3 linked regions of the Drosophila melanogaster genome follow. The protein of the gene in region 1 purifies or fractionates together with the protein of each later gene. This does not show direct contact. Each region holds a gene or a part of one and is shown in the gene's direction. Other genes may lie near its edges.

Region 1 (3,753 bases):
GTACTTAAGGGCGAGAACGTCGACCTGGCTAGCATCGTGAAGAACCTCAAGGACCATGTGGCGCAGCTGAAGCAGCAGGTGATGGAGCACATTGCCGCGGGCTGCACGGTGCCGCCGAACTCGACAGACCAATAACATTTGGAGTTGTCAGCCGGGGAGAATGATGAGGAGGACGTGGCACTGGAGACTGAAACCCCCTCGAATCCTGAAGATCCCGAGCAACCCATGCCTCTGGAATTCTTTTCAAGTGCTAGCACCGGTGCCTTGGAGCTGGAGGGCTCGGCCTCTCAGGATATTTCCCTAACTAACAGCGAACTCCTGGAGGAGGAGAGCGATAACGAACAGCCTCTGGTGCTCTACATCCTCGCGGACGACGCAACCTGAGGCTTTGTGCCTTTCTTTGGTTTTAGCTGCAATATCTGAAATGCTTCTTAAGTGTTTTGTTTACTTAGTTATTAGTATAAGCTAGTGTTAATCAAGTATTATCTGTGTTGAACGTAAGATAATATGTAATGTACTTTTAAAATATACGTATATTTTCTGCACTTGATATATACATAAAAAAATTATTTCTACGCCTTAAACTTATTTATTCATCATCCTCCTCTTCGTCATCATCGTCGTCGTTGTCATCCATGGCCTCGGCCTCGGCCTCCTCTTCCATTGCGCTATCAGCCTGTTCCTCGTCGTTCACATCATCCTCGACATGCAGCTGGAAGCCTTCGCTTTTTGTCCACGAGCACTTCATGGTCAGCCGAAATTTGGCCATGGGCTTGCCCACCAGCTTGAGGATTCTCGCCTGTTCGGGTGTTAGAACTTTGCCCTCCTCACAAACCGTGTAGTCACTGTACAGCGTAACGATTCCCTTCTCCAATTTGGTGGGCAGGCCCAGGGAACGCAGATGCGGTTCCATAGAGTGGGCGAAGTCCTCTAGGGGACCTGCTGGCAGGGTAACCGTTTCCGTGGCCACAAAGCCACTGCGTGCGTATTCCACGGCCCAGTAGTTTTCTGCCCACTCCAGGACTTCCTCCTTGGATTTGTCCGTGAAAAGCAGTCCCACCTGGCCAGTTAATCGCTTGGATAGCTAATAGACATAGCCTGTGATTAGTGTCTGATATATGTTAATCCACTTAAACTTAATTACCTTGTGCAATTCCGGCTCCACTTCCTCGCTCTTCGTGCGACCCAAGCCAATCTGCATAACACGATTCTTGCCAAAGATAAAACGAGAATTCTTTTTCAACTCCTGTCGCAGATCCTTCAGCAAGCTATTCCTCATGTTCTGAACTTGGAAAACGAATATATTTGGGTATTTGCCCACGCAGAACCGAATGTCGTCCACAATGCGCTGTTTCCAAGCCAGACCCTTGCGGTCGGTTTTGGTCAGGGAAACTAAGGGAAGAAGAGTATCGCACGTTATAAGTACAAATCGTATATATTAAAGCCGAAACTCTCACCTTTCTTATCACGTTTGGAGCGCGGCATATCTGTAGCCTTTAAATAGCAACGTTTTCTTAACAGAAACCAAGAATATTTCCCACCGAACGTAAACACGTGCGGCCTTCTAGAGATGGTAAATGTTCCTAACCAACAATCGATAGCTCTATCGTGTATCGGAATTTCGCACCGTGCGGGTTGGAAAATTCCTGCGGGCCAATCCCTACTTCAGCTTTCCTCGTTTTCCAACACATCTGCGCGTAGAGAAGAAGAAGAACCTTCACGTCCGAGCCGTAAGAGGTGAATTAACTAATTAATAAGTGCTTGCTCGTTTAAAACTAAGTTAAAAGTCGTGTGCTGAGAGCCCAAGGATTACGCATATATTCGATATTCGCTTGAAAACCCAGGCGCAGTAAGTAGTTTCACCTAGTGCGTCGTGTGTCGGCTTGCGACCGCCATATTGTCGGCGGATAAAATTTTCCCCGAATAAGTGCGCCCACGCACTTTATCGATTCCGTTGGCCTCCTAATTGGATGCCACCTGCCCCTTGGGCTCTCCGCATTTGATTGCGTGCGGTACTGGCCTTGCGAAAATCCCATTACAATTGGAAATGGACGTAGCAATTTTTCATTACCGCAACCAAATAGGACGCCGATGACGTAATTTTTTCCGTCTTGTTCTTTGTGAGCTGTAGTAAAATGTAGAGATGAGCGCGTGAGCATGTCTTCGCCACGCACGAGTTGAATTGCAATACACTTACACGATTATTTAGAAAATTCCTCGTACACCTAATTACCGTTTTTTTTTTTTAATGACTTGAACATTATGCTTAATGTAATACAAAAACATCATAGAATATTAAATATATTTTCTTATTGTATAATTAACAATAGAAGAAGACTCAAAAGAATATACTCTAATTTTGTCGAATTATCCCATATTGACAGGACTAAGTATAATTAGAACTAGAAATTGATTGTTAAATCCTCGCCTTAACTTCCGGCCCACAATCGTAGGCCCTGCCTCACCTCACGAAAATCATAAGTACGTGGATATCTCGTTTTTATGTGTGAGTGCACCAATTCAATGAAATCCAAATTAGAATTAAGGCAATTTACCGCCACCCCCTTATCAATGGCATACATCTCCCGATTAGTTTCCTCCTTGCGGAGGCCATAAAGTCAAGATAAAAGCGTAATCTGGCAGCGAGATAAGCGCTCGAAAGTTTCAACAGGTTGGAAACGAACTATAAACTATTACTTCATAAAACGATGATAACACAAAGACTTGACAATAAAAGCTGGCTCATTTTAAAGCTCTCTATCTACAAGTTCTGAGACGCCTATTAATTAGTATATTTTATCTGAAAGTTTGGTTTCCAAGTTTTACCTGCACACCTGGCAACATTAATTTATACAGCAGGTTGGCAACCCTGAAACTCTCTCACTTGTCGCACTTTCTCGCTCTCGCCTGAGCCAGCCCCATATGCTCCCTCTCATTCTGCGGCGGCGCATGTGCCCCTGCTAGAGTGTGCGTGGGGAGAGAGCGCAGAAACACAGATACAGCGGCGCGGCGAATGTGTGCAACCTTTGCCGTCCGTCATTCTCATTCGTTCGTTGGTAGTGTTCGTTGTCGTTTCAGTTTCAGTTAATCGAGAATGTAAGTAACATTTTTGCTGGCCCAGAGTGCCTTGTACCTATGTGTGTGCGCCTGCCAGTGTGTGTATGGAATTATAAAACGTAAAATTGCTAAAATATCCGAAGAAAAAACACGTGTAATGCCGCCTATGAGCAATCACTTACATGCATCTATACTTCGTCCCGCAGAAAAATCGAAATACATAAATCAGACATCGATCCGAAGCCAAAAAAAAAAAATCTACGCAAAAGAATAAAGTGTAAATTTGTGCAAAATAAGGAAAAGAAAAGAAAATGAAAGAAAAGAACATTCCCGAGTTGCCCGAGTATTGGTGCATGTATGTGATGCGGTGAGATTCGCTTGTAGCTTCGTATTTCTCATCATCATCAGCAGTTCATCGGTTAAGTTGTAGGCGGCGGACATAGCCGACTTCTATATTTACGCTTATATAGCCAGCTATATGTACACACAGTACGCCAAGATAGATATATATATATATATATCCAAGTTGATACTTGGATGGGGACACGCGGTTAGGTGGGTTTCCTCGCCAAACTCAACACACTTGGCGGCCGCCTGTGGTAGATACATTTCGGCCTCTCTCTGCGGCGTTCTCCGCTCTCTCCCTCCCTCCCACCTCGCTCCTCCTTTCTCCCGATTATTTTTATAATTTTGTAG
Region 2 (3,753 bases), about 14 Mb from region 1:
GCATGATGCTGTTCTCCAGTCTAAAGCGGAATACATTACTTAAGCGTATCCTTTGGGATAATTTGTAGCATGCATGGGAATCGGGACGATCGGGTAGTTGTGGAAAAGCCACTAAATGAACCGAATGTACTCACACCAACGAAGCATACCAATACCCGGAGGGGCATCAGGATGACGTAGCGGATGAAGAAGCCGAACACCCAGATGGAGGTGATTTTCCAGGAAATGAACTCGTAGTGCCTATTGGTGCGTGTCAGCATGTTCCAGCTCTTGAGCTCCTCCGCCTCGAAGCGCGACGTAACATCGTCCTCGATGATGGCCTCCACGCCAGACTTTACGTAGTCCAGGCATTTCTCAAAATCGAAATTGATTTCATCCTGCAAATGGGAAATGTTGTTTAAATCAGGTGCCCATTGCAATGCCGGACTCCTTACCTTTGTGGAGGAAACTGGCTTCTCTGGAGCGGGCTCCTGTGGCTGGGGCAGGAGTACCGCGTCCCTGGTAATCAATGTGGCTCCATTGGTGCCTTCTTTGGAATCGGCGTCGTCCACTAGTTGCACTCCCTGTTTGTCGTCAGTCTTGGGATTTTGAATGTGTTGGTTTTCTTTGGATGCTGTCTCTATACTAACTCGACCATACTGAAAGTAGAGGTGATTAGTTGTTAACGAGTCGAATCGGGGATTATCTGCAGATAAGATTATCGCAAGCATATCGTCGGACGAGGTAATGACTGGCACTTTACAAGTGTCTGGGAAGCGGCAACTTGGGTGCACTGGCGCACTCCTGCCCCGCAGATTCCTTGAGGATAGCCGAAGAATCTACTTAAAGCTTCCGGGCAAGCAATAGTTTCTCGAACTCGCCTGCATTGCAGTAATTGCGTAGGGCAGACGTAGTATGGCGTACTCCAAAAGCTGACTATATTTATGGACTTTGGAATAGCTTAACTATTGGTAAGACAGCACCATTTGCAAAGCCACCGCAGCAGTGGAGCACCTCAAATCGGTGCTTACTCATCTGAGGAACGAAAGCAAGCAATATTTACCTCGAATATCCTTAGGAGGAGGTTCACGTACGCTTTTCGGACGCCGATTGATTTGTTTATGGCGGAAATAAATATGAGAAATGAGAGGAAGCCCCCGATGGGGATCCAGAATATGTCCAACAGCACGGCGATCATTTTACATTTGTGTCATGCGACATTAGTTATTGTTAAGCGAAAAATGCCTCCGAATTGTGTCGTGCCAATATATACAATGTTAAAATACTTTTTGCTGTAGACCGAACTAGCGATGGACCTTGACTGTGTCAAAAACCTGTCTCGTGCTCACAGACCTGGCCCGCGCTCATCTCTACGGGGAACAAACGGAAAGGGGACGATTCCGGTCGGGCAGGAGACGGAACGGCTTCTTGTTCCACTGCCAATCGTTTTGAAAAGGGTTGAATGAACGTGCACTGAAAACAAAAAGGCACATTTACATTCAGATTATATTGTTATTGGGTATGTGTTTTTGACAGACCTTTACCTGCACTTATTACTTAAATCAACAAGGCACATTTACAATCAGTTTATATTGTTATTGGGTGTGTTTTTGACAGACCTTTGCCTGTACTTATTTTCACTAAACAAAATGTTATAAACCAATAAATAATAATTGTTAGTCTAATAATTTATAGTCTGATATTATGGAACACAAGTGTGTGGGCTATACACACACCATAATTTAATATCTACTTTGTTTTGTGCCTTATTAATTACAAAATATAGAATAAATCTTTAGCTATAGCTAAAGGAAATCGACAAAAGTCGTAATCGGCTTGCGGAATACCCCTGGCATTCCGCAGGTGCAGCCACGAAGCCGATTACATGAGGAACGCTAGTATCGGAATGGACAAGTGGACGGGGATAGCCATCTGGCAACACTGGGATAAATTTATTTTATGTTGGCAGTTCCGTAATTATTATTATTACTATTATTTATTGCAACGAAGTTTAGTTTTTAACACCTTAATGTTATAGTTTCGCGCAGCGCGATGGAGTGATACGTATATGGAAGAACATATATGTGCGCGTGCCTAATCGCTAAGATAATTCTATGTAGTTTTCGTTTGTATACAATAAGTGCCTTTTATATGTTAACGACGATGTCAGCCAGCAGCAATACAAACAGCCTGATCGAGAAGGAGATCGACGACGAGGACATGCTTTCGCCGATCAAGTCCAACAACCTGGTGGTGCGGGTCAACCAGGACACGGACGACAACCTGCAGGCGCTATTCGACAGCGTCCTGAATCCGGGTGACGCCAAGCGCCCGCTGCAGCTGCCCCTGCGCATGCGGAAGCTGCCCAACTCCTTCTTCACGCCCCCGGCGCCCTCGCACTCGCGGGCCAACAGCGCCGACTCCACCTACGACGCGGGCTCCCAGTCGAGCATCAACATCGGGAACAAGGCGTCCATCGTCCAGCAGCCAGATGGCCAGTCGCCCATCGCCGCCATCCCCCAGCTCCAGATTCAGCCGTCTCCCCAGCACAGCCGCCTGGCGATACATCACTCCCGAGCCCGCAGCAGCCCCGCCTCGCTGCAGCAGAACTACAATGTGCGCGCCCGGAGCGACGCAGCAGCAGCCAACAATCCGAATGCCAATCCGAGCAGCCAACAGCAGCCCGCTGGGCCCACTTTCCCAGAGAACAGTGCCCAAGAGTTCCCCAGCGGCGCCCCGGCCAGCTCGGCCATTGATCTGGACGCCATGAACACCTGCATGTCGCAGGACATTCCCATGTCCATGCAGACAGTGCACAAGAAGCAGCGCTCCTACGACGTCATCAGCCCCATTCAGTTGAACCGCCAACTAGGCGCCTTGCCGCCGGGATGGGAGCAAGCCAAGACCAATGATGGCCAGATCTACTACTTGAAGTGAGTTTGGGCAGATTTTAAAAATGATATGCATGAAGCTTTATTTAATACGTGTCTTCTTTATGAACTTATGAAAACTAAAATATTCTTGTGAGTCACAGAAATCTCATTGGCTTCGTTGGATGTCTTTCAAGTTTATCTCTTAATCATTACTAGCTCAACTAATACCCAAAACAGCAATCTCAACAATGGTGTTCTCTCTACTTGCAGTCATACTACAAAATCTACGCAGTGGGAGGATCCCAGAATCCAATATCGCCAGCAGCAGCAAATCTTGATGGCCGAGCGAATAAAGCAGAATGGTAGGTTCTATCTTAGATGTAATGCCTTAGATAAGCAAGTCGTTAACTGCCTGTGGCTGCGTCTCATTGTTAACCCACTTAAATCAGCCATCAGAGGACTAATTAATGCTAGAGACCAGGCAGGGATAAGATAGGCTCTAACTCATTCCAACTAACGCATGAACAGCACAGTACACAACCGATTTCAGGGAGTCCATTCCGTCCATTTTGAGCGCGCCAATGCACTTTTCGGGATTGGGTTGGAGTCTGATCATTTTGGCATTCGGAAGTGGGAGCTCGATTGGATTTGCTTTGAGCATACTCCAATTGATTTTGATATGTGCTGCATGCTGGGCGCCAGTGCCCCTCCGTTCTCATCCGCTTACACACTGCAGCATTACGTTGAAGACATATTTTAATTTGTTTTTATTTACTTTGGTTTGTAATTCATTGTTTTTGTTCGATAGATGTTTTGCAAACTACAAAACAAACTACCACATCGACCATTGCTAACAATTTGGGTCCACTGCCGGATGGTTGGGAGCAGGCAGTTACCGAGT
Region 3 (3,753 bases), on another chromosome or scaffold:
ATCGGGTTACTATTGGTCAACTAATTACTGATAGCCACTCACATTTGGATGAGCCATCAGTATGCTGCATTGGGCCAGGCACTTGTGCGTGAGCGTGTCCATGTACTCCTGCGTCAGGTTGAAGTACCCGGTGGCCAGTTTCAGCCGTGATCCAGACAAGCAGTTGGAGAGCAGCCGCTTGGTCACCACGCTGTCGTGATGAATGCCGATCTGGCCCATCTCAAGCAGCGGAAAAATCCATGTGTCTGCCTGCGGATTCTGCTCTTTAGTTCGCGCCTGCCGCTGAAACGTCTCCTGCACTAAATCGGAAATACGTTTACGGGCAAGCTGGATAAACTGCTCCTTGGTGCCCTCGTACGGCAGTATTCGCCAGTTGCGGTGCAGTCCCTCGCTGGCATCTGGCGCCACTGCCAAACTAAACTCTTGAACGCGTTCGATGAACTGCGCATAGAAATCCGCCAACGGTTTGTCCTCAATGAGTATGTATCGATCCTGCCGGTTGGTGAAGTAGTCATTGGACAGATTGGCGCCTGATATGATCACGGCATCGTCGAACAGGTAGACCTTCATGTGCTGTAGTCCGAGAAGCTCATTCCACCGTGGCGGTGCTAGTCGCTTTGTCATCCCGCGCAGATCAGGCGTATGGTACAGGGATAGCTGCACCTGGCTCGCAAAGTCGCGGACCAGGGGTAGCAACATGGTCTTGGAGTTGAGGGTTCCCCGCGTGCCGCGTGTAAAGTCCAACAGCACGTTGAGCCTCAGGGCAGACTGTTGCTCCAGGCTGTGACGCAACGTCTGAACCATTGCGTTCTCCAGTTGCCCAGTGCCCAGGTACAAACTGGCCAGCACTATACGGCGTTTGGCCTGACCGATTCGTTGCACCAGCGTTTCGTAGAAGTGCTTTGGCTCGTGGATGACCTGAATTTGATCGCCTCGCAGCGGGAAGCACGGCGCTAGGTTGTGTAACCAACTTAGGCTCTCCAGTGCGGGTGCTCCAGGGAATCCGGTGGCCAGGACACTGGGCGCCTGCTGCAAGCAGCCCAGAAAATCGCCCTGAGCAGCCGGAGAGAGCTCCTGGCTGAAAAGGCGGCGAAGGTATGGCATCATCTTGGCGGGGATTTCTCTGACGGATTGGCAAGCGGATCCTCACTCTGGGCGGCTGCTATTTGATGACAGGGTATGGCGCATTGCTCACTGTCTGTTTGGCTGTATCCGGAACACACTTTCATTCATGGAGTGCTGTTTTATCACAAAAAAAACTTCGAATTTCAGCACGTAAATAAATTCCAGGTGGAACGCAAGTGTTGCAAAGCGAGCTGGGATTCGATAACAATTTATAGCTATCGGGAATTATCGACTGTTCATAATGGTGATGGTGATATGGTGATCCTGCTATGTGTTTCTTAAAAAAAAATAATATTTAAATCAAATTAATAAAAGCCTAACCATTTATCAATAGTTACTAACTGTTACATTTTTAACATTTTTGTGTATATCTACTTTTATATATATGCATAAAGAAATATTTGAATAAATTTACTTGAAATATTCAACCGGTATCTTACTAATATGCATTTCTTTTTGGTAATATTTAATTTTAGTTTAAAAAATCGTTTAATTTTAAACTGCAATAACATCGATGTTGTCAAATTTCTAGAAACATCGATAATACTAAGAATCGAATTAGTTTCACCTCTAGTTCAGGTCATAGAAAATAGACGCGCTGTTTTAAATGTGTGTTTGAAATAAAAATTGTGCAATAAACAAGCTAATAGCATTCAGGTCTATATCGAATTCTATACATTGTATATCTCTGTACGATAATTGTATATATTGTGCGAAACCGCGAGAAAATCGCACTCTGACCGTCGGAAACCTGGAAGATATGGAAAACGCCGATGCGACTTCGCAATCGGATGTCCACATCGACTACAAAACCCCCAAGAAGACCCACTCGCTGATCGACAGTGAGCAGTTGCTGGACAAGATCAACATCCTTACCACCAAGCCGGAGAATCACTCCCAGAATGCCAAGGTACGCGGAGGAATCGCAAACTGGCGATTACCACACGTGGGTGGTTTACAGTTAGCCACGGTTGCTAATCAAGAAAATTTGAAATGCCTCTAAACACAGTGTTTATGTAAATTGATTAAAAAAGGGCAGTACATGTTCAAGAATTAATGAAAAGGTTATGTTTATGTATTATAGGAAAAACGAAAAACATATGTACGTTCAAATGTGATGTTATATAGGATTTCCATTTCAAAAACATTTTTACAGTTCTATTTATCTTCTGTTTTTTTTACATAGCTCCTTTCTTCATTTCCTTTTACTGGCTATTGATGTACATATATCTTCTTTTATCCAATTATATATATACACATATGCTTTTTTAAGATTTTTTATTTTTTATATCTAGAACTGAAGTTTTTCTATGTCTAACTTTAGCTATATTATTTTCCTTTGTTCTGCCTTGGGCTATAAGAATTACCACCACCACTTAGGTCACTTTATTATATAGTAATGGATACATTCGCTTTCTTATACAGCTTCCCACTATCAAGGATTTTGTCATCATTAAGCCAATCAGCCGCGGCGCCTTTGGAAAAGTCTTCCTGGGCTACAAGAACAACGACTCGAAGCGGCTGTTCGCCATCAAGGTGATGCGCAAGTCAGAGATGATCAACAAGAACATGGTGTCCCAGGTAATCACGGAGCGGAATGCCCTGGCCCTCTCCCGCTCTCAGTTCTGTGTCAGTCTCTTCTACTCCCTGCAATCGCTCTCCTACGTCTACCTGGTGATGGAGTACATGGTGGGCGGGGATCTCAAGTCACTGCTGGCCATGTTTGGGTATTTTGACGAGCCCACGGCCCGGTTCTACGTGGCCGAGATGGTGATGGCGCTGCAGTATCTGCATCAGCACGGAATTGTCCACAGAGATATTAAACCGGACAACATGTTGCTCTCCTCCAGTGGCCATGTGAAGCTTACTGATTTTGGGTTGAGCAAAATCGATATGCGAAGAGATCTGGAAATATCAGACCTTATAAACTGCTCACCGAATTTAAACGCCCGCACGCCGGGCCAGCTTTTGTCGCTTACTTCGCACCTGTCTTTTGGGTCAGAGAAGAAACTGAATGACTTCGGTTCTGTTTCAAGTGGACAAAACAACGGAATGGGCTCGGTGGCCACGGGGACATCCCACTTGCTGCAGGCCATCAACAAGCATAGTCTGATAATGGAGCTGTCGGATAGCGAGGGCGACACCTCGCTCAATGATGCAGAGAAGACGAGCGATAGCAAGATATCTGGTGTTTCCCCCTTCTTTTCTGCCGAGGAGGCCAATGAATCCATTACTCATACCTGCACTACAAACGTAAATGTGGGTAAACATATTGCAATTAAAATGGATTTATTCATCTATCATTCTCCGAATCTTCAGCCCCAGGATAGCAGCTCGTCTTGTTCGTTCCACACTTGTAACTCGGCCGACCTGAGCAAGTGCTCACCACCACTGGAGTCAAAGGACGGTGCTGCTGCGGGCAATGCGATCCCCAGCAAGCGGCGCGTGGAATTCGTCTTGGATGCGGCACCCTGTCAGGTAAGTGGCTGGAAATCGGCCAAACCCGTAATCTCTGTATTTATTTGCATAAATGGTTGATTCTCTGAAAGGGCTGCAAGCTGGCCGAGCAAGACAGCAGCAACATGGCCACCAATGATGGCAAACATTTGCCCAAGATAGATAACGCAA

The links.
Region 2: the proteins of 14-3-3zeta (region 1) and yki purify together in Drosophila melanogaster (affinity purification with western blotting; 5 studies listed by BioGRID, with this or other methods). This does not show direct contact.
Region 3: the proteins of 14-3-3zeta (region 1) and gwl purify together in Drosophila melanogaster (affinity purification with western blotting, with the first as the bait; one study listed by BioGRID). This does not show direct contact.

Annotation. Positions count from the first base shown.
Region 1 is NT_033778.4:10,098,002-10,101,754, forward strand, and holds the start of 14-3-3zeta (14-3-3zeta), read left to right. Parts: upstream 1-1,675; 5' UTR 1,676-1,737; exon of another isoform or gene 1,738-1,849; intron 1,850-3,034; exon of another isoform or gene 3,035-3,176; intron 3,177-3,753. Other genes in the region: Jra (Jun-related antigen), read left to right, coding at 1-135; RpLP0-like (ribosomal protein LP0-like), read right to left, coding at 590-1,084, 1,145-1,392, 1,458-1,485. UniProt on the Drosophila melanogaster protein: Required in Raf-dependent cell proliferation and photoreceptor differentiation during eye development. Acts upstream of Raf and downstream of Ras, and is essential for viability.
Region 2 is NT_033778.4:24,066,624-24,070,376, reverse strand, and holds the start of yki (yorkie), read left to right. Parts: upstream 1-1,891; 5' UTR 1,892-2,061; coding exon 2,062-2,912; intron 2,913-3,122; coding exon 3,123-3,214; intron 3,215-3,660; coding exon 3,661-3,753. Other genes in the region: Gpat4 (Glycerol-3-phosphate acyltransferase 4), read right to left, coding at 135-377, 435-638, 1,043-1,177. UniProt on the Drosophila melanogaster protein: Transcriptional coactivator which is the critical downstream regulatory target in the Hippo/SWH (Sav/Wts/Hpo) signaling pathway that plays a pivotal role in organ size control and tumor suppression by restricting proliferation and promoting apoptosis.
Region 3 is NT_033777.3:18,744,687-18,748,439, forward strand, and holds the start of gwl (greatwall), read left to right. Parts: upstream 1-1,683; 5' UTR 1,684-1,885; coding exon 1,886-2,035; intron 2,036-2,550; coding exon 2,551-3,384; intron 3,385-3,444; coding exon 3,445-3,603; intron 3,604-3,674; coding exon 3,675-3,753. Other genes in the region: PGS1 (phosphatidylglycerophosphate synthase 1), read right to left, coding at 43-1,107.